4 linked regions of the Lytechinus pictus genome follow. The protein of the gene in region 2 purifies or fractionates together with the protein of the main gene of each other region. This does not show direct contact. Links are inferred from orthologs where the notes say so. Each region holds a gene or a part of one and is shown on either strand. Other genes may lie near its edges. The genes, in order: coatomer subunit delta-like, coatomer subunit alpha-like, coatomer subunit beta-like and nudC domain-containing protein 1-like.

The links.
Region 1: the proteins of coatomer subunit alpha-like (region 2) and coatomer subunit delta-like fractionate together in Homo sapiens (co-fractionation; 4 studies listed by BioGRID and IntAct, with this or other methods). This does not show direct contact. The link is inferred for Lytechinus pictus from reciprocal best matches to the Homo sapiens genes COPA and ARCN1.
Region 3: the proteins of coatomer subunit alpha-like (region 2) and coatomer subunit beta-like fractionate together in Homo sapiens (co-fractionation; 6 studies listed by BioGRID and IntAct, with this or other methods). This does not show direct contact. The link is inferred for Lytechinus pictus from reciprocal best matches to the Homo sapiens genes COPA and COPB1.
Region 4: the proteins of coatomer subunit alpha-like (region 2) and nudC domain-containing protein 1-like purify together in Homo sapiens (co-immunoprecipitation; 3 studies listed by BioGRID and IntAct, with this or other methods). This does not show direct contact. The link is inferred for Lytechinus pictus from reciprocal best matches to the Homo sapiens genes COPA and NUDCD1.

Annotation. Positions count from the first base shown.
Region 1 is NC_087252.1:32,344,995-32,353,612, forward strand, and holds the start of coatomer subunit delta-like, read left to right. Parts: upstream 1-5,209; 5' UTR 5,210-5,319; coding exon 5,320-5,322; intron 5,323-8,618. Other genes in the region: porphobilinogen deaminase-like, read right to left, coding at 1-31, 1,261-1,333, 4,747-4,794. UniProt on the Homo sapiens protein: Component of the coatomer, a cytosolic protein complex that binds to dilysine motifs and reversibly associates with Golgi non-clathrin-coated vesicles, which further mediate biosynthetic protein transport from the ER, via the Golgi up to the trans Golgi network.
Region 2 is NC_087252.1:3,709,613-3,717,348, forward strand, and holds the start of coatomer subunit alpha-like, read right to left. Parts: upstream 3,108-7,736; 5' UTR 2,978-3,107; coding exon 2,938-2,977; intron 1,577-2,937; coding exon 1,463-1,576; intron 657-1,462; coding exon 502-656; intron 1-501. UniProt on the Homo sapiens protein: The coatomer is a cytosolic protein complex that binds to dilysine motifs and reversibly associates with Golgi non-clathrin-coated vesicles, which further mediate biosynthetic protein transport from the ER, via the Golgi up to the trans Golgi network.
Region 3 is NC_087263.1:10,345,051-10,353,578, forward strand, and holds the start of coatomer subunit beta-like, read left to right. Parts: upstream 1-5,289; 5' UTR 5,290-5,397; intron 5,398-8,528. Other genes in the region: inner centromere protein A-like, read right to left, coding at 640-747, 2,349-2,491. UniProt on the Homo sapiens protein: The coatomer is a cytosolic protein complex that binds to dilysine motifs and reversibly associates with Golgi non-clathrin-coated vesicles, which further mediate biosynthetic protein transport from the ER, via the Golgi up to the trans Golgi network.
Region 4 is NC_087246.1:46,603,457-46,611,505, forward strand, and holds the start of nudC domain-containing protein 1-like, read right to left. Parts: upstream 3,206-8,049; 5' UTR 3,127-3,205; coding exon 2,994-3,126; intron 1-2,993.

The sequences.
Region 1 (8,618 bases), about 29 Mb from region 2:
TGAATGTGGTCCCCGATGGTTTCCATGGTTACTGAGACAACAAAAAAAGACCAGGAATGAAATAAATTATTAGAAGAGTGTACATCACATGGCTGAACTTAAAACTTTTTTATGGAGGGGGGAAACAAGACACCTAAAATTTTTGAAAGGAGCTCAAAAGCATTGTAAGCGTAAATTGACAAAGCTCATTATGGCACATTTGAAGTATTTCATGCAAATTTTTTGTGAATTTTGCAAAAATTTTCAGTAAAAATTTTAAGTTATCAAAATTTCTGGTTGAAGGGGGAACTGCATCCCCCCTCCTTGCCCTTCACTGCCTACAGCCACAAAATGTTACTTTGATCACTCCCTTAACTGTTTTGCAAACAATAAGCAGAATTTCTATCATAACTTTCATATTACATTGTAAGTCTTAGTAAACTGAATTACATGTAGGATATGATTTGACCTGTACAAAAAAACATCTGTTTTTCTTTTCAGAAGAAGACCCTACACTAGAAATCCTGGATCCACCAATGATGTAAATGCATTTAAATCATCAAACTGCTTTTCTGCATTCATAGATATTCAAAGCCCCTTCTCAATGCTAAATTGGTTTTCTGGTGTACCCTTGTCATCTCGCTCAATCACCATCATCATTATCCTCCTCCTCCCCCTCCTCATATTATATGTTTAGAATGGCAGCTTTGGCAATATTTCTTTTTGGGTTGTAGTAGCTACATTGTAGCTCTTCAACATTTGAAGAAAAAAAATCCAGAGCTTCTCATGAAAATAGCGTTAACTTAAATCCAAATTCTGTGACAATGCCAGGTTCATCATCATCAGTTAGTTCTTATTTATTCATAAAAATCTAATTGAAATCATCACTATAATGAGAGGAAGAGAAAAAAAAACTGATCAAAATCATTTCAAACAATTATATGGATTATTCACCATTGATAGTAATGTTAAATGTAAATAACAATTATTTAGTGACTTCATTTTAACAAAAAATAAGTATTTATTCGTCATTGAAAGAAATAATAATGGGTTGCAATTCACAAGTTGGGTTTTTGTTTTTTCTAATGCAAAAAGGGTGGCGAATGAACAATTTTCAATTGTAGAACAATTGTAGCAACATCACAGCCCCATGGCCAAATTTGTTGCATACAGTCTCATTTTTCAACTCAATATCAATAATAATATGGTCATGAAAAACTTGGATTGTCTTGGCATTAACCCCTCAAAATCTGAGGAAAAAACACAATTTTTTTTATTTACCAATCTTGAATTCCACATCTGGATGAACTTTCTGCAACAGTTCCACAACATGATTGGTTTGTATCATGGCCAACTGAAAAAAAAGTAATAGATAAGAAATGAACCCCTTATCACTCATCAGTTTCTTCTCAGCTTTTTGATTTAGAATAATTTTGCAATGGGAACTTAGGATGCAATTTTGGAACCATGTGATTGAACTCAAATTATTTTTTAATAAAATTAAGTAAAAGTGATTTCAAGAAAAACAATACGTGACTATATAATATATAGTCACGTAATGTTTTTCTTGAAGGGTATGCGGCAATTGCGATGCAAAGAAAAATGGTTGGTTAATATAAAATAATTTTATGATATTCATAATTTCCACAATATTTTGGAATAGCACGTGCGAATTTTTCCAGAATGTATTTCCTCTAACAAGTTAGTTGTCATTTTTGAATTAAAGCACAGTGAAATAAAGATGTCCGGCAATGTCAATGATAATTGATATATAATAAAAAAAAATATATCATCACAAAACTACGCTGTGTCTAGATCCAGGTCCAGGCCAGGGCCAGGCTTACCAGGCCCAGGGGTGCCGGTGTACCGGCGGATCCTGCGCCTGGCAGATACTGTTCTAGGCACCAAATCCGCCGGCGGATATGGTTCTCCTCCGGCGGATTCAGTACCAAAAAAGGCCACTCCCTTCAGAAGATTCGGAAGATATCGTTCTTGCGCTATCGCGATATCCTTCATTCATCACGTTCACACGTCATGCATGCACGCGCACCGCGCGTGAATAACGTTGCGAAATGAAGTTCGAAGAAGAGGTGGGTTAGCCTTAGTCTAATTGAGAGCCAGCTACCTTTCGGATTCTAGTTACATTAGGCCTTGAAGAGGAAAGCCTCAACATTTTGCCTTTATTCTGATGATTAGGGACAGAGTCAGACTCAGACTGACGTTAATCAGAGATTAAGTTTGCACAAAGAAGAATCTAACTTTGAGCTATTTTTTGGCATTATATTCAGTAAATAAAATCATATTCTACACTTTTCCTTTGCTTTTCTTTCCTCCTTTCTTTTTGTTCTTGTTTGTAGAACTTTTTGGGACCATAGCCCAACCCTTCCATACGCAGTGCTGTGCGGTTGGGGTCCGGAATTTCTTGATATCAAAGCCATTTAAACCTCGCAGATTGCCGCTATTTTAATCAAATCGCGGGCATGTACAGGATATAGCTTTTACACAACACATTTATTCAACCCAGTTGCGTAATGAACCAAATATTTTGAGGGGCAAAACATAGTAATGTGGGAAAAATCTGTAAAAAGTCGCAAAGCGATCGAGCTGGAAAAAAAAGCCTTTTGAAATTAAATTCTAATTATATAATTGATTTTTCCATTAGATTCAGCAACTAACAAATTTCATTGTTTCCATTCATTTCATTATACCTTGTCTCCTTTAATTTATTTTATTTCTCTTGGGTGTGGAACCAAGACCCCCCCCCCCCCCCCCCGGCGCATGTGCAGTAATTGAACGTGATTGTGAACGGGAAGCGTTATAGAGCAATTTGAGGTTCAGTATAAATGAAGAGCCCCTACTGTGTGGGGTCTGGGGCAAAGCCCCGGTAGCTTATTTACATAAAATTTGGCTAGCTTATAGCACAATGTTATATGCAGTCCATCTTTCTTCCCGCTCTTTAATTTCAATCATCGGAAGCCCGGTCGTGTTATTTTTTTTTTCTTGTCCCTTTTCTTTGTTTTCCAAAAATTAGCTTTTGACTAATTGCATTTTACCTTCGTTTCGCGCTATTGTTTGCCATTTTGTCATCTTTTAATTTATTTCCCATCGTGCTATTGCATTACATATGCCTGTTTTGGAATGATTTGTTCTTTCTCAAATGTTCATTTTCCCGATTTCCTTCCTTTTCCATTAAAAAGGGTTTTTTTCTTCGTTTTCTTTTCACTTTTTCCTTTCCTTTTCCCCTCATTCCCCTTTCCCTTTCTTTCTCCCTCCTTTTTTTTCCTTTCCCGTTTTTCTTTTATTCCTGGTTAAATCCGACAGGGGGCAACTCCCCCCCCCCCCCCGCCTGTTACGTCATGAATATCCATTAGGTGGACTGATGATGTCACATCTCCACTTGTTCTTTTGTAATTTATTATATGAAATTAGGTTTATTCAAATTTTTTCCTCCAAGAACTAGAAAATTTGGATTGACAACTGATTTAGTGCATTAGATATTTATTGCTGCAACTTATTTCATTATAAGGGAGACATATTATTCACACAAGTATGAAATAAATGAAAAAAATATGGTTTTGTGTGATAACATAAGAAAACGGAAAATGGGGATGTGACATCATCAGCCCAACTAATGAATATTCATGATGACTGTTTTCACAAAATATTGCTTAACTTTAAACTTCAATAACTTTATTATTTGTTATCCGATCTTGATGAAATTTTCTGCATTTTGCTCAGTGAATTCTACTCTATGTATTAAGATATAAATATTTTCAGCCCGGACCATCCCTTTAATTCAGATTCCTTAACAAAAATATTGAAAAAAAAGGAATAAAAAAAAAACAAATTAAAAATAGGCCTACAATAAACTACATAAGATATTAATCATGTTTTGAAATTCTTTTTTTTTAAATGTTTTCACAAAAAATCAGCACTCTACAAGCAATAATATGAGTTAACAGCAATATATATTCATAAACTAATTTGCCTCATTTATTTTGAAATTATGAAGTTTTAACTCGTTGAAAATCTGTAGTTTTATAAAAACTATAGGCCTATATGGGGGTACAAATTTTCGCCAGTCTGGCAAACTTACACTAATCATGGTGTGAAAAAGCACAGTTAAAGATTTCGATGCATACTGCGGACTTAAAGTAGTATAAATTTTCACGTAGGGCCTACAAAACAAAATGATGAAAATTTCATCAAAATCTGATAATAATAAATAGCAAAGTTTTGGCGCATGTGCCAGGTCTATGTATACATGATATATCGAGTCATTGTTTCTCCTATTCCCTCACCCCCATCGAGCCCTTCGTCAAAAGCTTTATGGATCCGGCCCTGAATAAAAATTCACTAAAAGTCTAAAGGCGGACGAAAATCCCCTCCCCCCATTGGTAACGACATTGCCAGAGCCGCGCATGCGCGCGCTGCCGAGGTTGGACGTCTGTCCAAATAAATATTACACGTATCGTCAATAGAACCAAATCTGCAAACTTCAAGCCGCGTCAAACCCGGCGGATATGGTTCCGATTAAAAACGATATCGGCCATTAAGAACGATATCTGCCGGCGGATACGGTATCCGCCGGTGGAACCGAATCCGCCGCTACACCGGCCAGGAGTGGGCGTGTCACCTCATCGGCGCGGCATCGCTGAGCTGCGCTGTCAATTGTCAAGACAAGAGGAAGAAATTCGATAAACACAATACACAACCAAACACGTATGGGACCGAACAAAAATCCTTCGGTTCCCCAGAGGCATTTACCTCGCTCTTTCTCGAGCCTATGCGAATAACTTCCACTTGACTAGCCATACTTTCGAAAAGACGACGATGCTTATTATCACTATGAGAAACTCCCAATCTCCGTGAACCGAAGTCTTCTAGTAAAATTAAAACTACGTTTTCGGACCGTCTGCGTCACTGCTCTGTACTGCTAGCTGCTCGCGAAAGACTTTAACTACACGTGAAATGCAAATGACCTTCAACCCGGAAGTTGAGCCCATTATATGTGTACAATTTTAGAGCAAAAATATAGTGCTGTGTATTGGTTGAAATTATATTTTGTACAATTGAAACACATGAAAACCTTCATTCAAATAAATTTTACAAGATTTAGGGATAATTCAATCAGTGAAAGTGATTACTGTTCTCTTGAATGAGAAAGAAAAGTCCACAATTAAAAAATATTCTTCCGCCACGGGCGTTATCCGTCTCAAACTCCACATCACACGGACGTGGCCCGTCTTAATCTTACGACTGTGTAGCGAAAATCCTGAGAAAATCCCACAGAAGACAGTGAAATTGCCGTTTTATTCGAAGAGCATACTGAATAAGAAGATGGTATGATATTGTTAGCTATAATTTCATTAGTAGTAAATAAATGGTGTTTATCGTTTATTGAAATGTCTCTTACAAGCTAAATAATCAAGCCTTGATAACTTTTTTAAATTAAAAATCTTGCTGACAAAAAAAGTGACAGACACAGTGTGAGTGCAGTGCAGTGAATAAGTGATCAGTGGTGTTGTTGGGGGAAATAATAAGATGGCAAATATAGCGATCTTCAACGCTTATATATAAGCGTCGAAATTTGTAGCCATCTCCTTGTATTAGTCTATAATATACGACGTGTCAAATTGTAGCGAACTAGTTCGCCATTTCCAGATCTCCTCTATATATATATATACGAGGGGGAATTGTAGCGAACTAGTTCGCTATTTTCCAGATCTCCTCTATATACAAACGACGGGAAATTGTAGCGAACTAGTTCGCTATTTTTCGGATCTCCTCGATATATACACAAGGGGAATTGTAGCGAACTAGTTCGCTATTTTCCAGATCTCCTCTATATATACACCAGGGATTTGTAGCGAACTAGTTCGCTATTTTTCGGATCTCCTCGATATGTACACGAGGGGGAATTGTAGCGAACTAGTTCGCTATTTTTTTATTTTTCCAGATCTCCTCTATATACATACGACGGGATTTGTAGCGAACTATATACGAGGGGGCATTGTAGCGAACTAGTTCGCTATTTTTTTTGATCTCCTCTATATATACACCAGGGGGGGAATTGTAGCAAACTAGTTCGCTATTTTTCGGATCTCCTCTACATGTATACGACAGGAAATTGTTGCAAACTAGTTCGCCATTTCTCATCTCCTCTCTAAAATATAAACATGGCAAACTGTAGCGAACTAGTTGGCAATTTTTCTGATCTCTTCATATACACGAGGGGGAAATTGTAGCGAACTAGTTGTCATTTTTTTCCAAAGCTTACATTATTGTGAAGGCTTCAAAGTGAAAATCTGCAGGTTTTGGCTGTATATATTGATGCCATATTGTCAAATTGTAGCAGACTAGTTCGCTATTTTCCAGATCTCCTCTATATATATATACGAGGGGGAATTGTAGCGAACCAGTTCGCTATTTTCCAGATCTCCTCTATATCCATACGACGGGATTTGTAGCTAACTAGTTCGCTACTTTTCGGATCTCCTCTATAAAATTATATACACGAGGGGGAATTGTAGCGAACTAGTTCGCTACAATTCCGTCTCTTGTATATATAAAGATTAGAAAAATAGCGAACTAGTTCACTAATTCCTCCTCGTGTATAAAATTTTATAGAGGAGATCCGAAAAATAGCGAACTAGTTCGCTACAATTCCCCCTCGTGTATATATCGAGGAGATCCGAAAAATAGCGAACTAGTTCGCTACAATTTTCTGTCGTATATAGAGGAGATCCGAAAAATAGCGAACTAGTTCGCTACAAAAGAAGAGATCCGAAAAATAGCGAACTAGTTCGCTACAATTTCCCGTCGTATATATATATAGAGGAGATCTGGAAAATAGCGAACTAGTTCGCTACAATTTCCCGTCGTATATATATATATAGAGGAAATCCGAAAAATAGCGAACTAGTTCGCTACAAATCCCGTAGTATGTATCTAGAGGAGATCTGGAAAATAGCGAACTAGTTCGCTACAATTCCCCCTCGTGTATATATATCGAGGAGATCCGAAAAATAGCGAACTAGTTCGCTACAATTTCCCGTCGTTTGTATATAGAGGAGATCTAGAAAATAGCGAACTAGTTCGCTACAATTTCCCGTCGTTTGTATATAGAGGAGATCTGGAAAATAGCGAACTAGTTTGCTACAATTCCCCCTCGTGTATATATCGAGGAGATCCGAAAAATAGCGAACTAGTTCGCTACAATTTTCTGTCGTATATAGAGGAGATCCGAAAAATAGCGAACTAGTTCGCTACAAAAGAAGAGATCCGAAAAATAGCGAACTAGTTCGCTACAATTTCCCGTCGTATATATATATAGAGGAGATCTGGAAAATAGCGAACTAGTTCGCTACAATTTCCCGTCGTATATATATATATAGAGGAAATCCGAAAAATAGCGAACTAGTTCGCTACAAATCCCGTAGTATGTATCTAGAGGAGATCTGGAAAATAGCGAACTAGTTCGCTACAATTCCCCCTCGTGTATATATATCGAGGAGATCCGAAAAATAGCGAACTAGTTCGCTACAATTTCCCGTCGTTTGTATATAGAGGAGATCTAGAAAATAGCGAACTAGTTCGCTACAATTCCCCCTCGTATATATATATATAGAGGAGATCTGGAAAATAGCGAACTAGTTCGCTACAATTCCCCCTCGTATATATATATATAGAGGAGATCTGGAAATAGCGAACTAGTTCGCTACAATTTGACACGTCGTATATTATAGACTAATACAAGGAGATGGCTACAAATTTCGACGCTTATATATAAGCGTTGAAGATCGCTATATTTGCCATCTATAAAATACCGTGTTGTTGGGGCACCTATTGTTTTGCCTTGACGGTGTTTACGTGTTAATGTGTTAGGAGCCTTAGTTATAGGAGGTAAGTTTTTACATGAGCACAACAGATTAACACCAAATGATGCCCACCAAACATGTTGAAGTTGATAAGTCCCGAAATGTCACTCGGTTATGTCGGTGTTGAGGCCACTTGAGTTGTCAATATTTTTTCTAACGTTGTCGTTGTTTTAACTCGGTCATGATCGACTCATGTCATTGTCCGTCAAAATAGGTTTTGGACATGTTGGTAGTACTAGTAGGATAGGATTCAGATATGATCTAGTTTGTGCTTCCAAGTTCCAGGCTAAACACCAGATCACTTGAACAGCAGAGCCAGAGGCGCTGTGCTGGTCAGAAAGACAGAAAATTAGGATCGTCCCAGTTAATTACATGATACAGGGACTGTCTCAGAGACTCAGTTTTCAATTATTTCTCCCTGCAACAAATCTAGGAAAGTTCATTCACCTGTCAAGTGCAGACACCACTCAAGTTAGACAGCTGGCAGCCGTCTGTTTCGAGGAGTTTTTAAACATTTTTTATTTTTTTTATTTCTCGTATACAGATGCAGACGGCTGGTAAAAGTGCAGCCGCCATTAGGGGGTTTGCAATACAACCCCCCCTGGCAGGAATTTTAGCTAATAATAAAACATTTAGACAAGTACTGCACCTATAGCAAGATTATCATTCCGTTTTAGCCTAAAATGCACCAAACGGGGAAAAAAAACTTTAAAGAACAAAAACAGTGACTTTGGCTGTTGCACAACTCCCACTTCCCTG
Region 2 (7,736 bases):
TGGAGGGAAGGGGATCAATTTGATCTGACCTGATTTGATCATTGGATGCAAAATAATGCACAGATGTTTGAAGACACAATATTAATCTTCCCTGTGCATGGGATTCATCATTGTTCATTTAAATATTTTTTTTCTACATAATTCAATTCTATCTCAAGGTGCTTGCTATAGGCCTTGATAGGGATAAGTAAGTTGATTGACCCACAAGACCCCTCCCACAAGACCCCTCATACATGTCATAAGGAAAATTGGTCATGCATGTAATATGAAATACAAGATCATAGCTGAAAGGCAGCTCGAGCTAAAACCGGGGTAATAATAATAATAACACGCCTTGGAATAGAATATTTCTAGATAGATGGCTCTATATAAATAACTATTATTATTATTATTATTATCATATTTATCATTATCATTATCATTATCATTATTATTATTATTATTATCATTATTATTATTATTATTATTATTATTATATAATATTGGAACTAATCTCCTTACATGATGGAAGAAGGTTGTCCTGATGTAATCCAGATGTCCAAGGAGAGTGAAGAGACATCTTTTGAGTTTATAGTTCCAGACCTTGATCTTGTAGTCATCGCCTCCAGAAACAAACAGGGGCTGCTGTTGGTGGAAACTGATCCCTCTAACAGGACCTGAAAGAAAAGTAAAAATTTTTTTAATTCTGAAAGAACATTTTCTGGAATGTCTGTTGATTTAGGGCTGTATATTGCAATTTTGCCTCTGAAAAATTAAGCATAAGCAGCACTCCGAGTACTAAGTTTGTGATCGGCGATCTGAAACGACATTTGAAAACGTTGATTCTGTACCCGCAATGGAAGCATAAACACACCCCTAGACTTCTTTTTAAAAAACTGGGGAGCTCACAATGGCTCACATTTTTCTCTGTGATTTTGTTTATTCTAGACATCTGATTACACAATCCAAGAAAATATTCATAATTTGTCCATATACATGTAGGTCCTGTATATTTGGAAACAGGTATTGAGTCAAGGCAACATTTTGCTGGACTTGGCCTTGGTCCAAGTCACATGTACAACATCTATGGGAAGTTATAACTGTAAAAAAAAACCAGCCTGAACTACATGTACATGTACATCCCTGTCTGGAAACTACTTTCCCAAGAAAATGAGGATTTCTGAGACCCTGAGAGGCTTCTCTTTTATTAACCCATTGCCTACTGGAACCTGGGGCCTATAAGTATAACACAAACTTAGCAATGATCGTAGAACATTTTTCTACGATTGATTCCATTGACTACAATGTACAATCAATCGTGAAAATCAATCGTACGATTAATCGCTAACCTTTGTGTTACGGGACCCAGATGATACATGTACAAAGACTACGGAAATCTCAGAATTTAGTAGTCAACGGGATGACGTACATGTTATTCTTTTCTTGGTTGGACTTGACCTTCACCCCTGCAAATGACACTTACCATCGTGTTCATCAAACTTCTCCAAGAGAGTGCACATACGGTAGTCCCACAGCTGGATGTTTCCATTGTGCAAGCTGGCAAGGATCCATGGTCGGTTGGGGTGAAAGCACAAGCCTGGAGGAAGAAAGAAAGAGATTGAGAAAGTACAAAGAAGAGCAACAAAACTCATACCATCCTTGGCAATGCTAGACTATGGAGACAGACTTCGAGCCCTAAATCTACCATCCCTGCAATACAGAATGAGAAGAGGTGACATGATCCAGACTTATAAAATAGTGCATGGAATCGACTGGCTTGACAAAGGATATGTTCTTCTCGTCAATTAATGTTGAGGCAACCCGAGGTCACCCATATAAACTCTTCAAGAAAAGAAATAGACTGGATGTAAGAGCAAATGCCTTCGGAGCCAGAATAGTGCGTGACTGGAACTCGCTACCAAATGAGGTTGTCTCTACTCCATCTGTAAATTCCAGGCTTGATAAGTTCTGGAATAAAGAATGGTACAGTCACCCTTGGGAATGATTTGATTTGATTTGACAGAAATGATTGCAAACGCACCATGTACACTGGACACTCACAGTCACACATATTACTTGTGGAAGAAGATTAAACTTGGACGAAAGCTAGACCTGGAAACTTGGCTGCAGCTTTCTGCATTTTTCCAGTACATCCAGTAATACTAATAAGGTAATAAAGGAAAAAAGAACCGAGGATTAATGGGAGAAGGCAGAGAGATGGGGATGGGACCCTCACAAGGACGACACTGTATGTGAAAATGACAGAGTTCAAACACAATGACAAACTGAAGAAAATCTAATCTGGGACTAACCTATGTACATCACCATCTAAAACATGTGACCCAGGGCCAGGCTTCACATCAATTTATCAAATCTCTGATTGTGTGAATCAATCTAATAAAATTTGACTTTTATACGAACAAAGTAAGAAAACGGATAAAAGGTGAAATGCTTAACAATAAAATTATTATTATTATTTTAAGGGTTATAAGTCTTACTACGAATACAGTAACATTGAAAAACCAAATCATGACATTGTATTTTTTCTAAAAATTGAAATAAAAATTTGAGTTTGCGTTTGACTGAACTTCTGTCACTGAATGAAAGGGAAAAAAAGAAGATTGAGAAATTCTCAAAAATCATATAGTATACGGTATTTCAACTATTATTAAGGAAATACAATTTTCGTATTATCTTTATCTTCCCAACTTTGCAAAATAATGAAGGTGAAACCACGGCACACAATTTAATGTCTGGATTTCAGCTCTCCCGGTACGAAACACGACGGCAGCAAGCGGGGGAAGCGCGGCCGGGGTAATGGGCCATGGCACGGCACATCGGCAGTCCCAAACCCGACATTGCAAAGAATCAGTTGCGGACATTGGCGGTGCTGTCACAACACCGAATTCCACCCAAAATTGCAAAGTCAAATATGTGATTATTAATTTTCTTGCATACCTTTCACCCTTGCAGATTTCGTCTCAAATTTTGTAAGCATGATACTGCTGTCAAATCATCAAAAAAGTAATGTAATTTTCTTCCTTTTCTCCTGACAATTCCACGAAGATGCAGCCACGTCACTTTCAGCTTATGTTTGATAGTCTTTCGTACAGCCGTTTTCTCTTGATATTCTTCTGTTCAATTAGTGAGGAACATAGAGATGTATACTAGTAACGCTAGAGGGCGTACTTCGTCAAATCGCTGTGATTACGTGGAGACCGTCCGCCATTGCTCGATAGGTATTCGCAGCCTGCCATATCCATGCGCGTACAGTACCTATGGGGCATGTACACGGATGAGCACAGAACATGACAAATTGATGACATATGAGCACGAAAGCATATGGAAAAGCAAAATTGTAAATATTGCACTGGATTAAAGTTCAAATACAACAAAAATCTAGCAAAACTGAGGTCAAAAGGCCTATATAGGCCTATCTATAGCGCATAATATAGGCCGATACAGCTATAATACAGGCAAACGATTTAAAGTCCCAATTGTTTTTGCTTAGGTAAAATTTTGATACATTAATATGACTTCTATTTTCTAATGATTTGGAAGAGATGAATATCAAAAATAACATTTAGGCCTAGGTCCTGATAAATAAATTTAATGTGTTTTAATATGATTTGATGTACATTAACCTAAGAAAATTCATAGGCCATATCACAGTGATGCATCTGAGACGCTGTATCGAAAAAAAAAACACGATTGTATTTTTATAGTTCATAGTTTCCTAATTACTATTATGCTGATTGCTGATAATTTATTTCTTCACTTTAGATAATTGTTATAATTTATTTTCCATATATATCTACACAATAGGGCCTATAATAACTCGATCCCTTTTCCCCATGTCTTACACGCTGATGTAAACCAACATCACAAAAACTCGCGAATCATAAAATGACTTTTTATTGATATTTGGAAATGATTTACGCATTGATTCAGTTAAAAATTGATGATTTAGATTTCCTTTGCTGGCAACCATCCCATCATATTTATAAATATGTATATAAAAGTATACTTTCTTACTTGCGATCAATGTATAGAAAAGTTTGTTGACAGCAAAATGCGCGCATGCAGTCGTACAATTTTGCAATGTACAGGAGGCCTAATGGGGGGTTGGATGTTTATGTACAGTGTTATTGCCTTGCAAACATTTTAAAACTTCGGAGAGTAAACAAATCACAATGCGCAAAACAATTTTACTTTGATTTTCTGGAAAGTATAGACTTGATTCTCCCCGGCTGAAAATATGCTGATCGGCAAACTGGCTGAAATATTTTGTTTATCGCCGTTGTTTCTGATCCTATAATGATTGGACCAATATCATGTGAACAAATCAAGGATAGAATAATAAGGAGAGGAAGAAGGGGGAGAAGGAGAGAAGGAAAGGGGCGGGATTATGATATATAATTTTTATTATACTATAAAGAATATTATTACTACTGCAAGAGTGTATAAAACTAATATCATGAAAGACATCAATGCAAACTTATCATAATTATGAAAACGGTTGCAAAATTGTGAGTACTAAAACCAAACATAATTATGAAACAATAATATTGCAAAAGTGACAATACTTGGAATAAGATATTAAAAATCCAAATTTAATCTCAAATTTGATACCTGCCTTGAAATTGTGCTAATTAACTGTGTCTGTGTCGCTTGAATAAATGAACTTTATGGCAAATATTTGTAAGCACTGGCACCGGCCTAACATATAAACAGATAAACACGCGTTTTGAATATCCAGTTTTGTTTTTCATTTTAAAAGTATAACTGAATTTGATTTTCTAGTTTTCTTCCTTTAATGTCATTTGCTGGCCTATGGACCTGAGTTTGGTTATTCGATCAGTTTTTTTTAAATAAGATTTCCATGGATGAACAAAATTATTATATTATGTTAATTACGGCGTCGCGGAATGATTTTGAAAGTGATGGGGTGCATAAAATCACAATCATTTATTATGTGTAATGTTCATTTTCATTTCAGGGAGGGGTCCGGTCGCGCCCCCTGTATTTTATTTTGATCAGTATGTTAAAGCGAATTTGCTTAGGTGTGTTTGTTATTTTAATTGCACACACGGCCCCTAAAAAGCGAATTAAAACAAATCTAACTTAAAGTGAAGGGAATTAAAACTGTCATTTGTGAAAAGTTTGAACAAATTAGGCTATATTCTCGACATTTTAAATCAATATTTTATTTTCGGGCCATATAGGCCTGCAGATTTTGGGGAATTTATTATGTTCCTATAAGAACAAAATCAGCACGTTCACCAAATAACACAAATTTCAACATTGATGGTGTAACGGGAGGCTCACCAAGAACAATAATGAGATGCCCTTTAATAGCGCATGTAGATCAAAACACTAACTTATACAGAATTATTGTACAACTTAATATATAAAAATGATAGGCCTATATTTCATACAAATTAAAGCAAGTTACATATCATGTAGGCCTATATAGAAATTACAAAATTATATCCAACATAAACATAGAATCAAAGGACGTAAATGTGGGAAGGATGGAAGGAGGACGATGCAGTTAAAGGTAGGGAAATCCAGAGAAGGGCTAATTCACTGCAGTCTTTTGAATTAATTGTCAATCTTTCTATTAATGTCCGCTGTATGTTTTTATTTTTATATGATTGTTTATTTGATAGTATATCAACATTGTTATCTATTACAGGCCTATAAACGGACAGGTAAATGCAAATTATTTAGAATTTCATCCCGAGAAATCAGGTTTTTAAAATGCCAAATTAATAGCATAATCCCCATGTAATCACTCTAATAGTGTATTGAGATGCAATTTGTCATTCATATTTTCGATTTTTATGAGGTTGTGTTCTTTTCTTCAAGAAAAAGGCCGGAGACGGCACCCCTTTTCACAGCGTTACAACGCACGAGCTATGGGTACATCCGGGTACTTTTGCGAATCTATACCTATCGAGCAATGGCCGCCACGCTCCACACAATCACAGACGTTAAGTACGCGCGCCTATGGCGACTCCGCACTCTAGCGTAGTTAGTATACATCTCTATGGTGAGGAATTGGTCGAAAATCTAAAATTTCCCGTTATTGGCGACTACAAAAGTGCGCAGCACCCTCTCTCGTTGGATTTTTTAAATTTTATTTAGACTGTATTAGACTAATTAAATTATCTCAAAATTCATACTCTAGTGAAAACTGAGATTTATTTTTCCCCCTGTTTTTTTTTAATTCCTTCTTTCTTCCATCATTTGTTAAGAATAACCTTGTATATTATTTTCGTCTATTTATTTTTCATTTTTGTTTACTCCAATTTTACTTTTGCCAATTGTATTTTACCCATGCTTTGATATATTTTGTTTTTCGTTTTTATTTTTGTATGCTTGTTTTATGTTGATATTATATGTTATTATCATTTGTCCACGGCCTTGCTGAAAAGCAGCTTCTAGCCGAAAGCAGGCTTTTTAACCGTGATTAAATAAATAAAATACAAAAAAAAATACAAATACAAGAATTATTCATGTATTTATCTATCTATTTCTTCAGTATCTTAATAAAGTCGTTTGTCTATTTATTTCTCCTATATCCTTAACTTTTTCTTATTTTTCACTTTTTTCCGTTTTATGTTCTTTAACTTCCATTTCTTTCTTTTTTATCATTTTTATGGTGGTTTTTTTTTTTCTTAATGTTTTATTTTCTTTCTTCTTCCATTTTTTCATGTTTTCTTTCCGCTTTAGCTTTCCCATTGAGAAGAAAGAAAGAGTTAGAACTCGGATCCACTTTTTGTCAGCGGCGGAACGTATATATAGGCCCTACATCTTCTTTGGGGGACTCTCTTATTTCGCCAATCCAGATCGGCTGTGAATATAGTGGGATATATTGACCAGCCGAATATGTGACCTTGTTGATTTAAATATAAATCTAAAATACTTGAATTTAAACCTTTTGAGATTTAAAAGTTAATTAAGATTCAAATTGAATTCAAAATTTGGCTGGTCACTAATATTCACAGACGATCTGGATTTATTTTAAATCCTTGGAATTTATAGAGTGCATGGGCCCAAAATAACACTTTTTATAACATGTATACTCATGTCAAAATGTGAATTTGGGTGCAAACTGATATTTTCATCATCAGATTACGTTTCTGCCTGAAGATGTTGTGTGTTTCATGGAATTAGATCAGCAAAACCTTTTTTGAAGTGATTTCTGATTGAATTTATTTCAGGCTTTATTTATTCCGCGACGAGCGGTTCCAAAAAATGAAAATTGAAGTTGTAAAACTCACTTTGTGATCATTTTTGGCGCTGATTTCTGTTTAAAGGGCATCCTTTTCGCAGTTCTCATGAGTTTTGTTTGTTACCACTTTTTGTCACTAATCTTTAGTAACTAACATATCGCACTGTCACTGATCGAATAATGCGAGCGTAAATTAGCGCAAAATGAATTTTTTTTGATATTCCGACCTGAAAACTAGAAATACTCAGCAAGCGCGAGTATGTGCATGTCTTTTTAGCCTACTTAAAAAGGATGTTTGTCGGAGACATATCACATTTCATTCATGAAAATATGGCCTTTTTTCGTACGGGATTATTACTTTTTTGGCAGGGTGCAAATTCCTACGACCTTATTTTTTTATAGTTATTTTTTCTTCCACTGTATCTTTTTTGTGGGGGGCATATGGCTATAGATCATGAAGCAGTACTGCCGAGGCCCGGAAAGTTTACGTGGTCATATTTTCATTGAGGGTGTGAAG
Region 3 (8,528 bases), on a different chromosome or scaffold from region 2:
AACAGGCAATGTGCATGCCAATGTTCAAGACGATAATCAGGCTGCAATCAGCAGCCGATACCAGGGCCGGGGCTTGGGGGCTTAATAAGCCATCTGCAGAAAATGTACCATTGCAGGTCACATCACAATACTATTCATTTGGCTTTTAAATAACTGCAGCTGCACTATATGAATAGGGCCTACTGTCGAAATGCACACTTATGAGAATTTGCTTTTTACTTTCTTTATTTTCATAGACTGACGTTGTAAAAATTTGATTGTTCATATTTTTGCTAACTTCGGAGGCGTTGTACAACACAAATAGTAAGTATTCTTAATCATGCATCGGTGAAACAAAGAGACAATCTATTCATCCAGAGCAGCTTTCTTTCACCTTATGTGAAATCACACTGTAATAGCTATTCGCTATTCATATACTGATAAATCTGTGATAGTACATGTAAGTCCCCAGGATATGATCTGACCAATTCAGTGATGTTTTTGACAACCACATGGCGCTGGGTATTTAAATGCAAGCAATTTTAGCCAGACTTTGATACTTGTGAAACACCCCAAGGCTATGACTGGTCCATGACAAATTAAAATACCCTCAGCTCATCTGAGTTTATTAAAAACTTGCGACTTTTGTGACTTTCTTACCTTTTAGATGGTATAGTTTCCTCAACTGAACTCCTCCGAGCAACACGTCGACCTTTACGCGTTCTATTCTTGACAGCAGGGGTCTTCGGTAGGAGTATGGCATCATCCCTATAGTTGGAAGCAAGAAGTTAAAAGCATTGATTAAACTATGATTTTGACTCAAATTTAAAAAACCTGCAAATATCAATTTGTCACCTGTGGTTTGTTGTAAATACAAAGCCCCCCAAAAAAATATTGTTAATGAAAATCGTTATTCAGTCATTCAGTGCACTTCAAAAAGTAACAGGAAAAACCTCCACCAGGGGCCCGTTGCAGAAAGAGTTGCGATCATCAAATGCAACTCAAAATATCTTGCGCTAATTGATTTTCAGCCAATTAAGCACCCATATTCGGGACTTGCGCTTGATATTTTGACTTGCGTTTAAAGTTAAACACAACTCTTTCTGCAAAATGCCCCAGAAAATCGAGTACGTTTATTTGAAACATGTGCATTCAGAATCATCAGACACACCCTCTCCTAAAGGACAATTATATTCAGTCATGGTGAGGTGAACCATTGAAAAGTTATGACATCAGGTGGGTGTTTCATAAAGCTGTTCGTAAGATACGAATGACTTTAAGATCGACTGGTGATCCTTTCTTGTGCTATGTGATATCTCTATGTAATTGATTATGACCTATTAAAGAGAAATTCCAGTAGTTGCAGTAAACACTGATTTCATGAGAAAGTCTGTAAAACCAGGCTTAATTGTCAGTATATCATCGAGGATCTAGATCTGGTACAGTTACATAAACTGAACTTTGTGAAATCTTGAAATCTACGCTGAAAAATGTTCAGACTGAACTTCCCCAACACAGATAAGTGCACGTGGGACAGTGTATAATTATTGCTTTGAGCGTCGGGCCCGACGCTCTACCCGAATCCTGTGCTTATTTGCTGATTTCTCAGCAATTACACAATTTCTTCCAGAATCCTTTGGCACATGCGTTTTATTTATACAAACAGATACTTTGGTGGTCATTTCATTGGATTCTGTACGAACTCATTTTGATATCGTTACCAAAACTAGCATTTACCTTAAAGAACATGTTTCAGTCGTGCATAAAGTCGTTCGTAACTTTACGAACATCTTTATGAAACATCCACCAGGTGGGTATTTCGTAAAGCTGTTCGTAAGTTAAGAGCGACTTTAAGAACGACTGGTTCATTGGCGATGGTTTGACACGTAAGAAAGGTTCACCAGTCATTCTTGAAGTCGCTCAACTAAATTACTCTTAACTTATGAACAGCTTTATGAAACGGCCCCTAGGTGGGTGTTTCATAAAAAAAGCTGTTCGTAAGATAAGAGTGACTGGTGATCCTTTCTTTTGGTAAATGGTATACACCATTGGCGATGGTTTAGCACGTAAGAAAGGTTCACCAGTCGTTCTTAAAGTCGCTCTTAACTTACGAACAGCTTTACGAAATGGCCCCCTGGACCGGCTGCTCACATACATGCATTTGTCAGGTTGTGAATTCAAAACTTTATAACATCACAAGTTCACAACTCTCATTCGCGTGTAGATATCAATCATTCTCTGGCAGATATTCGGCAAGCTTTCATCAATTCTTTTCTGTGTTTTTTTTTTCTTTTATCATACATCACCTATATCATCATTTAGAGTGAGATGAGATTACACTGAAACCACGATCAAGGAGAATCGCCTACCTTCCAAAGTTCTCCTTGGCAGTTATCAACACCTCTTCTAGATACTTCATGTGCTTGGATTCAAACTCGTGGAGGAATTGCCGGATGTGTGCCTCTGCATCATGGTATATATTGAACCCCAGGAGGGGTTGATCACCAGCCATTGTTGTAGTTTAATTATTATTCTGATGGACTAACCTGTGGGGGAAAAACAAATCATTACCATTTTGGGGTAATTCCAAGCAAGTCAAATCAAATCAAACCAATTTAATTATTGACTCCAAATGTGCCCATTTGATTAATTGATAGTCTATGGCAAAAGCTGACATTTTCACTGTAAGCAGTTTGCCTTTAATACGGATCTACAAGTACAAATGCATTTTGTTCGATACCATCCACCATTTGTCTCATCCACCAGCGCTAACATCTAGCCACCTAACTAGCCAACAAAACAATTTGAATTACTTAGCAGTTTTTCTACCTTTGACTTTGAGTTCTCAACACCAAGTGTCTACCGAGGAGATAGACCAAAAGCTTCGGTCTCTTTTATGTTGGTTGTTCCGCTGAACTCTGTTGGCTCCACTCACCAAATACAGAGACCGAAGTTCTAGCTTGATCTGTACAGGGACTCAATGGCCATATGTTAATGTATTAAGTTCGGATAAAACAGGGATTGAAGTTGCGCGACAGCTGAAGTAAGTCACTGTTTTTTCCCCTTTTAAGTTTATTTTTCCCCGTTTTGGTGCATTTCAGGCTATAAAGGCATGATAATCTTTATTTTGGTACAGTTCTTTTTATATATTTTTATGAAATAAAGACAAAAATTGATGAGCCCCGTCGGGGGAATTTTGCATTGTTAACCCCCTAATGGTGGCTGCACGATAGCGAGTCGTCTGTGTACGAGGAGAAATTTAAAAAAAAAAATGTTTAAAAACTCCTCGAAACAGACGGCTGCCAGCTGTCTACCGAGGAGACTACTAATGTAGGGCGTGAAACAGGCCCAAAATGAACAACAACAACATCCACAACGAGCTTTTGACCTCAATGAGACAAAAATTCTTTGTTTTGCACCCAACTTAAAGGACGATACGCGCGGGGGAGTAGGCGCAGTGTCCATATGAACAAGAATCGATTTACGAGAGAAAAAGGGGGAAAAGATACAAATTTAGTAAGAATTCATCAAAATTGTTTTGACTAGACCCGAACCCCGCCGAAAAACGGTTGTTCATACGGGGCAAGAAATCCGATAGGAAACGGCTTTAGAACAAATGTCCGTCGTCAATCGTCGAATCATGTGCCGGAGCTCGCAGTGGAAGTACATATGACAAACGATTCATCAATGATATAATGTTGTGAAACCTCTGTACTTGTCATCTCATAAAGAAAACACCTAACCTTGTGATAGACTCTATAAAAGTGAGAATAAAAGTGAAATAAGTACTAAAGTAATGAGGGAGTTGTACGTGTGTGATATCACAGATCTTGGTCGCATTGCCGATGAGAGGATCTACATGGCACTAGTGATCTCAATATTCAAATGCTCATAACTTTCTTATTATTCATTCAATCTTCCTCAAACTTTCAACAATATGTTTCTTTGATTTTTCTCTTTGATATGGATTCAGCTAGTTTCAAGGGTTTCATTCTCCTTTAAATGATTTTTACTCTCTAGAAGCCGCCTGGCTACTTTTGACCTCAGTGAGACAAAATTTTGGGTGGAAAAAATCATGCTTTTGTTGGTGTTGTTTCATTTGTCCTTTTGCAAAGCAAGTCTCCAATGTGGGAGATTGTCTCCCCTATTGGAGAGAGTCTCCCATATTGGCCGTGCGCCTCTACTGATGTAGTGAGACGATCAGTCGATCACTATACTATTTAGCATTTTGATATCAGACTCAGAGAACTGATTTGGATGAGTCAAAATATTTCGCCACTGTGACAAGAATCGGCCGTAAAGTGTATCGGGGGCGGTCGGTTTCAAAAGAAGGGTGCAAATGAGCAAATGTAAACTAAAATCGTCACATTCGTTGTTCGCCGATATATACGCGAATAGAATCGTTCAATCGGAGTCGTCGATCGAAGCATGGGAATCTGATCTGCTCAATTTTCTGCACAAATTAGACAAAATGTAGGTAAAACTGATAAATATTTTCGCAGATACGATGCTTAGGAAATTAGGTGGTCGATAAATTAAGGGGTAGGTCCAACCATTAAATCTGTATATTTAATCATGTCAAACGTATTGTATTTTAACTTAAGACATCATCATGGAGTCCTCAAACTAACAAGTAACTTATGTCTCCCTCCCTTCTGGTCTGGAGAGCTATATTAATAATTTATTATAAAAAAAGACATGATTAAGTCAAGTGATTAAATTACGGTCAATAATGAATATGACTAATCATTCTAATGACATGTGATACAAGTCTATACTATAGTCATGATAGTACAGTTAAATTATCAATTATCTGCTCAACAAAGTTAATCATAATATATATGAGTCTACTCATATTTTCTGAGGTCAAAACCAGATTTCAACACTGAAAATAAATTGAAATCACCCTTTGGCATTGATGTAAACACGCCAGTCGCCACACACACATTCCATTGTTAATGAATGGACACACAACACCGACGATTCAGTCAGCTCAGTCAGTCAGTGACTGAACACTGCACAACACCGAATGAAATTTCTTCGTCATTGAAGTACATCTTACAAGGAAAATTATAATCATGGGTATTCATATTTTTAAGACATCGAATTTTATAAATTTGTAATAATATACTCACCGTATGATATTACAACATCGAAAAACAATGGGCATAACTCGATGTTTCACCGTACACTTGCATGACTCGACTTGCCGCGCGTGTGATGAATACGTTTCAAATCTAGTTGCGGAAAGAGAGCCAATCATAAGCCACGAAGTAAGTACGTCATATGCACACACTATATCGCGATCACCGTAGATGGCGCTGAAACGCCACGTTGGAATTTACCGATTGGAGATAAAACTGTGCGAGGAAAGGTTGTGAAGATCTACAAAAGAGTGATTTTGATTTACATTTTCGGGTAATGAGAGGATTGATGCTCATCATACATAATTTGTATTTATTTATGTATCACTTTTAAACATTTCTAGTCTATATCTTTAGCATGTTATACCATAAAAATTGTGATCATTTACCACTTGATTCACTTAACCCGGGCCTAGGTAGACTCGTAGGCAAGGGGGTAGTATTGCCTAATGCGTGCGATTTAGCATGCACGCGATTGAATGGCGGAAAACCATAATTCCATGATGCATACACTTGAAATGCACACGAGCCAAATCACTGACCCTTTTGTGCAATGCTGCAATCTTTATTTTAATGGTGGTCGCCTATTTTTTAAAGATTTTTTATATATTTATTCCAATGGCCTTTTGAAATTTTCTCCTGTGACTGGGAGTGTATGTGGACTATTTGCAGCTTAATGGCAATGTTTTATGAGATAGATTAGACTTGTCTTTTTGACTTTTGAAAGTTTTGTATTGAATTTGGGTAGGCCTAGGGCCCCTATTTTTCTAGCCCTAGCCCTAGGCCTAAATTCTAAAAAAGTTAGATCTATCCTGTATCCAATTTCAGAGACAGTCTCCAGTTTGGGAGACCAATTTCCTTTGTTTACATTTGCTGCAAAAGGATTACATTGTCATTGGCAGCAAATAAAATGTGATAAGCAGATTCCTCATGAACAATTACCCCTTTTCACCCTCATGAGTCCCGTCTGGCATCTAGTCTACTTTAAAAATTCACCGTCTAATTTGATAAGGATTTTTGTTGTCATACACACACAAAACAAATGGGCTTCTGACTAGCCAGGACTGGCAGGAGTAGCCAGGGGCCTGTTGCATGAAAGGGTCTTTGGTAGAACCATTCTACGTAAGAACGAGATATCGCTCAACTGTTTCACAAAGCCGATTTGGGCGATACGAAGAATGGTCCTTGGAAAGACACCTCCAGACATGTCCTACGTAGGCATGATCTCATTTGCACACCGCCCGCCACCGTCGGCATTGAGAGAAAATGCATTTACGGCAAGCCACACTGACATATCACCTCTAAACATTTTTTTGGTTGCACTCTGATGCATTTTATCTGGGATGGCGCCAAGTTATTTTTTATATGGGGTCTAGTTGTCATCAATTTCAGGTCATCTTTTTGCACGGCAGGACGACCAAAAACGGATGTCATTTTAACTTCTCCGGGGTACATGTATTATTCCCGGGGGTAACTAGGGCCAAATATTTTTTTAAATATGTTTTCTTCTATTCTCCCTCCGTCTTATCCCCACCCCTTTTCTATTAAAAAATAAACTTGAAATACTTGAAATGGGCGGCACTATATCTCTTTAGCCGACCCCTCATGCTTTCTCATTATAGATAAACAACAAATTTCTTTAAAAGAAATTATGTAAGGTAAAAAACGTGTTCAATAACATTCAGCAAAAAAAAACAAGACAAACTAAACTAAGATGTTAAACATGCTAAATCATTTATTTATTTTTATTTTATTTTCATTATAATTATTGTTTTTTTGCTGAGATTTATTTTAATCAATGAAAATTAATTGTTGGATTTGAAACAGTGAAACAAAACAAAAAACCTGCAGCTAATATTGAATTTAAGATACAGATCAAGCCTATAGCTTACGAATCCATCACAACCATTACAAATGAAGATAAGTTCATTAAAGAAAAGATTATGGAAAGTCCATACGAAGAGGCGCATTTTAAATCTTAGGGTAGGCCCCTTTCGGCCCTTATGTCATAGCATATAATCTCTATACTCCTTAACTTTGAAATTTTGAACATATATATTTTTATGTTATTTCTTAAACCTTATATTCTTATATAAACTTCCATAAATTAAGTGATCATCTTTAAATATGACCAGCGTTTATGATCGTTGTCATATTTAGCATTATTTCTGTAAAAGTATTTTTTCCATTGCGAATTGATTCACACCTTTTTCAATGTTTTAATTATTATTGCAAAGTACTATATACTTTATCCACTTGGACATGTTTGCAGCAATTTTCATATTTTCATTTTCTTCTGTTACTCATCATGCAACTGAGGTATGTTTATACTCTAAACACTCACATTTGTATTTCTTGCGTTATATCTGACAAATAAAATAAATAAATTAGATTTTTCACACGCAGCCTCTCATATTTTCCTTTTTAGTCTCATACAATCAGACACTGTTGATTTTGTTTACTCCATTTAAACCCTATATTTACCTCAACAAATAACATATTAACGCATAATTTATAAAATTATCATTATATACAAGTATTCTATAAAAATACAGAATATTGAACTAATAAATGTCGAAATTACTTAGTTAAATCAATTTTTATGTCGGACAAGGGTCTCTTTCGTTGAAATATCAATAAAAGGTGTCTCTAAAAAGACACCGTGTTCTAAATAAGGGAAATAATGAAAATTTCGATTTTATTTAGTTATGTTTGTGAATCTTTAAAGTTTTTTCTCTTTTAACCTCATAAAGTAAGCTCCATACATCAATTCTACTATCAGTAATAAATAAAACATTATTTTATCTCCTTTTATTGAAATATCGGATTTTATGTAAAGTCGTCATTCAGAAATAAAAGGTTCAGGTGACGATGAAGACTAAATATTTTTCCGATACTATCGATATCAAACGATGTCGCGGACTTGGAAGACAAAATTGCCTTCGTGAAACGGAAAGCGCTGATTTGTCGCCAATCTTCCTATCTCGGAAGAATGGTCCTAGGACGTTCCTACGTATCGCTCATCTCGTCATGCAACAGGCCCCAGGAGGCTTCTAAGTTAGAGAGTAAAAATCATTTACTAACGTAGGCTTACTCTCAATGAAGCCAGGTCTTCCTTCTCATTCACCTACACGAAGGACCCCAAAAAACCTGAAACTTTCACCCCCGAGATTTCTACTTTCCTTCAGATCTAGCCCTAAAATCATGTACTAGGGAGTGATGTACATGGGATTAAACTTCATTTCCGACATTTCTACGCTCTCGTTATTTTTAAACAAGAATTCATCAAAAAAAATGAGAAAAATATTGTGAAAAGACGGAAGAGACTTGCCCAATGTTTACGCCGCCATCTTGTTTCCTATTGTTCTTCGCCAACGTTACAGACGCGTGCGTTGCGCAACCAGT
Region 4 (8,049 bases), on a different chromosome or scaffold from region 2:
ATGCCAAAATTACGTTCGTCGCGGGTTGGTAGAATTTCGCCTTTGGTCCCATACGTTGAAACTTCTGTAATGATGGCAGATGGCTCGCATTATATTTCTGACTGTGGACGGTGGACTTGTTTTTTTTTTTTATTAAGACTTAATATAAACGAAGCTTAATAAGTAGATCCCTTCTAAAGTTTTATTCAAATGATTATCAGGTTTCCGAATTCCATCAAGTTTTTATAGATTGAGATATTTCTTGATTTATGTTGAAAATTGTTAACCTTTTTTCTTAATTAGTCGAAGATGAGCCCCATGATGATTTTTGCCCCAGGCTGCGGTTAAGAATTAAATGATGATTAGCTCAGACAGTCTACTCTAGAGACTATAAACAGTTTAAAGTCAAAGTAAAAAGTCTGGTACTACCGTACTCAGTAGTATTTATAAACCATTTTGTTCAAATAAAAAAATTGTGTCTGTCACAGACAGTACTTAGTTAGTCTCTTAATTGACTTACATGTAACATAATTCATACTTTGAATAATTTAGACTATTTCTCTCTTTTTTGTCTCTTCTACACACAGATCTGCATACTTTCTGACTCTGGTCTCTGCTTGCTACTTCATTCTGGGAGATTCCATCATGTACTATAATGGTCAGACCATGATTTGGACAAAGCCCTTTTTTCGTTTGCAAATTTTGGACTGATAATGATACAACAGAAAATTGATCTTTATCGATATTGGAAACAAAAAAATTAGAGCACAGTTTTGGGGAGGACTAAGAATACTGACTTGGACAGGAATACAGCTTGACAAAAATAAAAATTCACAATTCAAAACCAAAGAACATTTTTGATGCATTGCAAGAAACTTTCTACTCAATCACACATTCCAAAATTAAGGGTAAGTCCTTTGATTAAACACAAACATGTAGTTGATTTGCAATTGAACATAAGTTTCTTGCAATGCCCCATAATTATATTTTGTTCTCAAGCAACTCTGTTATATGTTATCTAATGTGCTGAAGGTTAAGTGCCATGTATGTTCACAATTTTTTTTTTTCGAAAGGTATAATATATTTGTCCTTTTATATGGTATTTGAATGTGGTTACGCCTTGTTTTTGTTTTCCACAGTAATTATATGAACAATAGTGAAATATTTGTTGTGAAGCACTGTATGAATGTTGTGTGATCATGGAGCTATGGTGTGATGGTATTATAATTAATTCATAATTTTTGTTATAAGACTGTAAACCTGGTGGATGTGAGGGGGTGGCCTGGATGAAAGGAAAGTGAGCATGTGTCCAATTACTGATTTGCATATGTTTAGACAATTTTGTTCGTGGATAAATATTAATGTGCATTCCCTATTCCAAGCAAAGAGTAAAGGAGAAGTCCACCCCACCAAAAAAATAATTTGAATTTAAAGAAAAATAAAGTATTGCAGAGAATTTTATAAAAACTATGATTCAAAATTCAAAAAATTACTATTTTGACATTGAGAAATTTGCCTAATTTTATAAAACAATTATATGCTCATCTTGGTCAATGTGCAAATTACAGAACCGATTATGTCACACGCACTCTAATTTCTTGTGTATTTTTTTGTTTGATACATGTACATGACATGTATATTTTATTTTAATTTTCATTAACAAATTTTGAGAGGGATTTTAATTCCTCCATTAACATTCGTAGTTTCCATAAATGTAACCTATTGTGATTCGAGAAAGATTTTTTACATCAAATTTGCTAAAATTTATATAATAAAAATGCAACAAAAATTTAAAAAGTAATTTGATGTGAGTGACATAATCAACTCTATTTGCATACCATTGTTTTGTGTATATAACTGTTTTGTGTAAAAACAGGGAAATTTCTTTATTTATTCAAATACTTTTTTGTTGATGTGCACTTGACCTTTAACTCACTTCCCTTCCCACCCCTGCCCAAATAAGTGTAATCAAGAACTTGAAAATCAAAAGCAGTGATTAAGAAGAAGTAAGAATTAATCATAGAGCTATTAATAATAGCTCCATGATTTAATAAATACAGGCCTAAATAGAACTTCATATGAAAGTAAAAAGAGAATAAAGCTGGGTAGGAACGATGAAGGAATACGATTTAAAGAAAAAGCATAAACATATCCCCATCAACCCCCCCCCCCCCCTCAAAAAAAAAAAAAAAAAAAACTCAATTTGGTGGGTTCGAACCAGGGTCCTTGCACACGTCAAAACATAGCGCTCACGCAATTCGCCATCGATCTCTTCCGTATTACTTCCGGGTTTTTTAAGATATATATAATGTTGTAAGTCTGTGCGCCGCTGTTGACCAATCAGAACGCGTCGGCAATTCTACTACAATTCCAATCATTTCGCGATGGACATTGCCGTGGTTTTTTGTGGTTCCTGACTTTGCTACATCATGAAATTTCATAATTTTTTTTCAGTCGTAAATAAGAATGTCTACGCTTTATATTGATTATAATATCAATTTGACGCAAGTATGATTTCGATGCAAAAATGCGCTCTGTTTATTCACATATATTTCTTAAAAAAACTCATTTTTTCTAAGCTAAATATCGGTCTTGAAAATACATTAAATGTGCATTTTATTTAGCTGATCAGAAATTTCAAAGTTTTATCTATAAAATAAGACCAATTATGTGAGGAATAAACGATTCTAAGAGCAAAAAACACCGATCGGAAAGTTCGTCTTCACAGCTCATTACGTATGCATAACCACGGACGGCTATGCATACCGCTGAATAAAATAGAGCACTTTCGGACGGGCTGCGGACTGACTGGACAATTGGATTTGGAGCGAAATAAAGTGTGTGAATGATACGCGCTCGCTATTCACTGCAATGCAATTTATGTACGCCCAGCTGATCGGTCCGCACTTTCGCCTAATTACGACTTAAATCATAGCGACGCAAAAATGAATGCATGGGACAAGGGCTTGCTAAGCCTCGCACTTGCCAACTTGTATAAAACAAACTGAACTCACCAGACTTGACGGAAATAGAATAAATTGGTAGTGGGTCGAGAGATAATTTGTAGCCATCAAACTGGCTATCAAGAAGGTCTCTATTCACGCGAAGAACTTCTGAACAAGCAGCCGCCATTTCGATCCGTGACATCTACCGTACCAGGCAAGCATACATACCGGCCGTGTGCGTAAACCACGCACGGTACGCGCGCCACTCGTACTTCACGATTATGGAACGCTCATCAATGTTCGGAATTCTGGAAAAACACGTCAATCATCATGACGTGGCAGTGGAGATGTCATGGGGGCCAAGCCTCCCCCCCCAAAAAAAAAAAACAAAAAAAAAAACAAGCAAATTAAAAGGGGAGGGAGGGGAAGAAACAGTGGGGAAATGAAAGAGTAAAAGAAGGAAAAGTAGGGAGAGTGAGATAAAAGACAGCTCGGGGACATGCAGTTAATTGGCGGCCCTCGATCGATGAGTGTTCGGAGGAGGGGGGGGGGGGGGGTTGGCGCAGTAAGGTGAGAGGAACAAGAGAAGTAGAAGTAGGGAGAGGTGATGAGAAAGAATGTGAAGAGGAGCAGAGAAATGGAGAGGAAAGGGGGCAGTGTCAATCCAGGGAGGGCAGTGGACGAACGATATCGACATATGCAGCTAGAGCACAGCCCCCTATAAATTAATTGTGACTTTGTGACATAATTAACACTCTTTTAATCTGTGCAATTCTCGTTTATCTTCTTTTTTTCATTAAATTTTCCTTTTCGCCCCTGAATGACATAATTGACTGGAATCACTGGATTATATTCAACAGACATTTTTTTATGACTATATATACAGTGCGTCCCACAAAAAACGAAACCGAGATTTATCGATGATTTATCATAACTTAATCACAAATACAATAGACAAATGACCTACCATTGTAAAGCTTAGAATCTCCTCTTTCATCTGAAATTACTTAGATTATTTCTCATTCACGCAAAAATGGCAGAGGTAAAAATGGCACAGGTAAAAATGGCAGAGGTAAAAATGGCAGAGGTAAAAATGGCAGAGGTGGATATGGATCGCACTTAATAAGGAGCTGATATTTTTCATTACTATTACTTTGAGTTTTAACATATAGGACCGGGACATCCTTAGGACACGCATATGAAAATGATGACTATCTCACAATCACAAATACAATAGACAAATGACCTACCATTGTAAAGCTTAGAATCTCCTCTTTCATCTGAAATTACTTAGATTATTTCTCATTCACGCAAAAATGGCAGAGGTAAAAATGGCACAGGTAAAAATGGCAGAGGTAAAAATGGCAGAGGTAAAAATGGCAGAGGTAAAAATGGCAGAGGTGAAAATGGCAGAGGTGAAAATGGCAAAGGTAAGAATGGCAGAGGTAAAAATGACAGAGATAAAAAATGTGAGAGGAATATATGGCAGCGGTAATAATGGCAGAGGTAATAATGGCAGAGGCAAAAATAGCTGAGGTAAAAATGAAAGAGGTATAAATGGCCAGTCTTAAACCCCCATGCCAAAAAATAAAAAAGCCCCTCTATGTACAGTAGATTAAATAAGAAAAGGTCTGAGAAGAAAATTGGAATTATAATGTTGGACTAATGGAAAGGGTAACATTTTTAAACCATACTGTAGATCTTCTGCACCAAATTGATAACACTTGAGTTGGTATTTCTTTTTTCCCCCGGAACTTACATGCACGGCCTTCTCATGTCAAATCGCTCTTCTAATATTCAATTTTGAAGCACACTTTGGATCCCAAGTATTGTACTTTATTCATTAAAGGGGGAATTCACACTGACATATAGTTTATTGTAGAAATAGCAGAAAATAATTAAAATGATATTGATGAGGGTTTTAGGGAATCCATCAAAGATTTTAAAAGCTATTAGAACTTTACATTTTAAAGTTCACGTCATTTGCGAGCAGTTTTTCCCACATATGGTGTAATAAAAAAATATGAATGAAATGTCATTTTCTAAAAAAAAGGAAATTGGTTTTCACTGTACCTTAAGTATATCAACATACAAATCATTTCACATCCGCTCCTGAAAGATATTTTAGCAATCATGAACCACTGATTAAAAATTGAAAAGTATACATTTTTGGTGCATAAAATACGGTGAAGCTGCTAGTATATGTCGTCACAAATCAAAAACTCAAACTTCTAATAACTTTCTTAATCTTTGATTGGTTTTCCGCAAACCTTCACCAATATATTTTTCTGCTAATCTAACAGTAAACCATTTGTCAGGGTGAATTTCCCCTTCAAAACAGGTTGATAGAATGGTACCTAAGAAACACCTATAAATTTAAATCCCTGATTCGCTATACACATTTAAAAATTCATGCGGTAACCGTTACCATAGAAACTAGTTTAGGAACCTTACATCCACTTGGACTAGCTGCAATGCGGTATTGCTCTGAAAACCTGAACGCTAGTTGCTATTATTATATAATTTACATTAAACTATATATGTATCATATCAATATCCATTCGGATCCATTGTGATGTTGAAATATGAAGAAATTACTTTTATTACAGAACGTTTTATTTTTCTGTTATCCAAGTTTTGCAAGTGGCTCAAAGAAATCCTGAACTTGTCTATTTCAGTGTGTTATTATGGTAGCGCACATTGGTGTTTACATTACAATTCGTTTGGTATGTATGCAGTGGCGTACCTAGGATTTTCCACAGGGGGGGCAAAATCGGCCGCAAAAAATTTGACAAGCAAAAAAAAAAAAAAAAAAAAAAAAAAAAAAAAAGGTCTTCAATTAAAAAAAATGAAGGTCATCGTACCAGAAAAAAATTGACAAGCAAAAAAAAAAAAAAAAAAAAGGTCTTCAATTAAAAAATGAAGGTCATCGTACCAGAAAAAAATTGACAAGCAAAAAAAAAAAAAAAAAGGGGGGGCAGGTATATGTCTTTTGTATGGGTTGTGGCTCGTCAGGGGGGGCAGAGTGCCCCCCCTGCCCCCCCGTAGGTACGCTAGTGTATGTATGTGATGAAGTGCTGTTCTACTTTATGAACTGTCCAACATAAATCCTTTCATCACTCACTAATTGAAATCATTTTGGCATGAAAATGTTTGAGTTTATATCATATCAACGATAAAGTATAGACCTATAAAATAAAATTTTACTGTTATGAATAAACATAAATATATAATATCATAATCCTTATTTATATAATGCGAGCGCGAAGCGCGAGCTAAATTTCTTTAGAAATATTATGTATTTTTCCTAAAATTTTGAAAATTCTGGGCAATGTTTGCTATCCTGAAAAAGATGTGTATGTAAATGAATAATTACTACAAACGTGAAGCGTGAGCAGAAATGAACTGATGGAAAAGATACTTGTTAAAGACTGCTTGCAGTTAGCCATGAAGACGTTACATATTTTAAAAATCAAATAATGCGAGCGCGAAGCGCGAGGTGAAATTTTTTGACATTTTTACCTAAGGAATGAAAATTCTAAGCACTTTTTGTAATTTAAACAGATAGGTATATAACTAAACAATCGATGCGAAGCGCGAGCGCAAAATTTCGAGATTTAGACCTACTGAACGAGACACTCTATTCAAGTTTTGTAAATCATGAAAAGGATGATTAATTGGGGATCTTCGTTACATTAATGCGAGTGCAGAGCGCGAGCAGAACATTTTTGTATACGTTTTGAACTGATCGAAAAGGTACCTGTTGAGGACTGCTTGCAACTTAGCCATGAAGACGTTACATATTATAACAATCAAATAATGCGAGCGTGCTGAAATATTTGGACATTTACATAAAGAATGTAAAATTTTAATCAAATTTTTTAATCGTGAACAGGATAAGTATAACTAAACAATTGATGCGAGCGCGAAGCGCGAGCGGAAAAAATCGAGATTTAGACTTAAAAACGGGACACTATATTCATGTTTTGTAAATCATGAAAAGAGTGAGTAATAGGGAATCTTCCTACATTAATAATACGAGCACAAAGCGCGAGCAGAGAATTTTTGATATTGTGATCTGAAACTGGATAATGATTTAAATAGAGAACAAGTTGATCATCTGAATAAACATGCGCGCGCGTGTTTCATATATTTAGACCTAGAATCTAGGCATCCTAATTACATCTTTTATCATAAAATTCAAAGCGAGCGCGAAGCGCGAGTTTAAACTATGTGATATTCCGATCTGAAAAAAAGAGTCAATTTCAGCTCAATATTTTAAGCACTTTGTAGGAAAATTGTGAGGTGGATATGGATCGCACTTAATAAGGAGCTGATTTTTATTTTATTTTTCATTACTATTACTTTGAGTTTTAACATATAGGACCGGGACATCCTTAGGACACGCATATGAAAATGATGACTATCTTCCTATTCCTCTTGCTAAGCGCGAGATGAAACAAAAGGGACAATTTAATTATTAAATTAATATCTTATTCATTAATGCCTATAATGAGGGCGCGAAATCTGATGATATTATGGCCTGAAAAAGCACTTTGTAATTATAAATAGGATACATCAGTTAATATATCAAATAGTAACTTAGATACCCTTGACTTGATACAAAATCATTGAAATTAGCTGCCCCATTTATTGCCCTATCCTTATGTGACATCTTTAACACTAGTTTAGATACGGGGATTTGTTCCTGCTGACTGGAAAATTGCACGTACGACACCGATTTTCAAAGGTAAGGGTTCAAAAGACGAAAAATCGAATTACCGACCAATCTCAGTCGGTAGTCACATCCCCAAAATCATAGAAAAGGAAATACAATCTATCCTACCTCCAAAAGCATGACATGATTAATGTTGATCAATACGCATTTCTTCCGAACCATTCAACAATAACGTGCCTACATCGTGTCTTAGATGATTTCTATGATGCTTATAAATATGAAAGAAATGGTTGCTGCATGCTTTCTAGACATCTCAAAATGTTTTGATTGTGTAGATCATGGACTTCTTCTATTCAAACTCGAAAAATATGGAATTATCAATAATATGCTCACTTGGTAAAAAAAAACTATTTAAATGATAAAAAGCAAGCTGTATTTTCCAAAGGA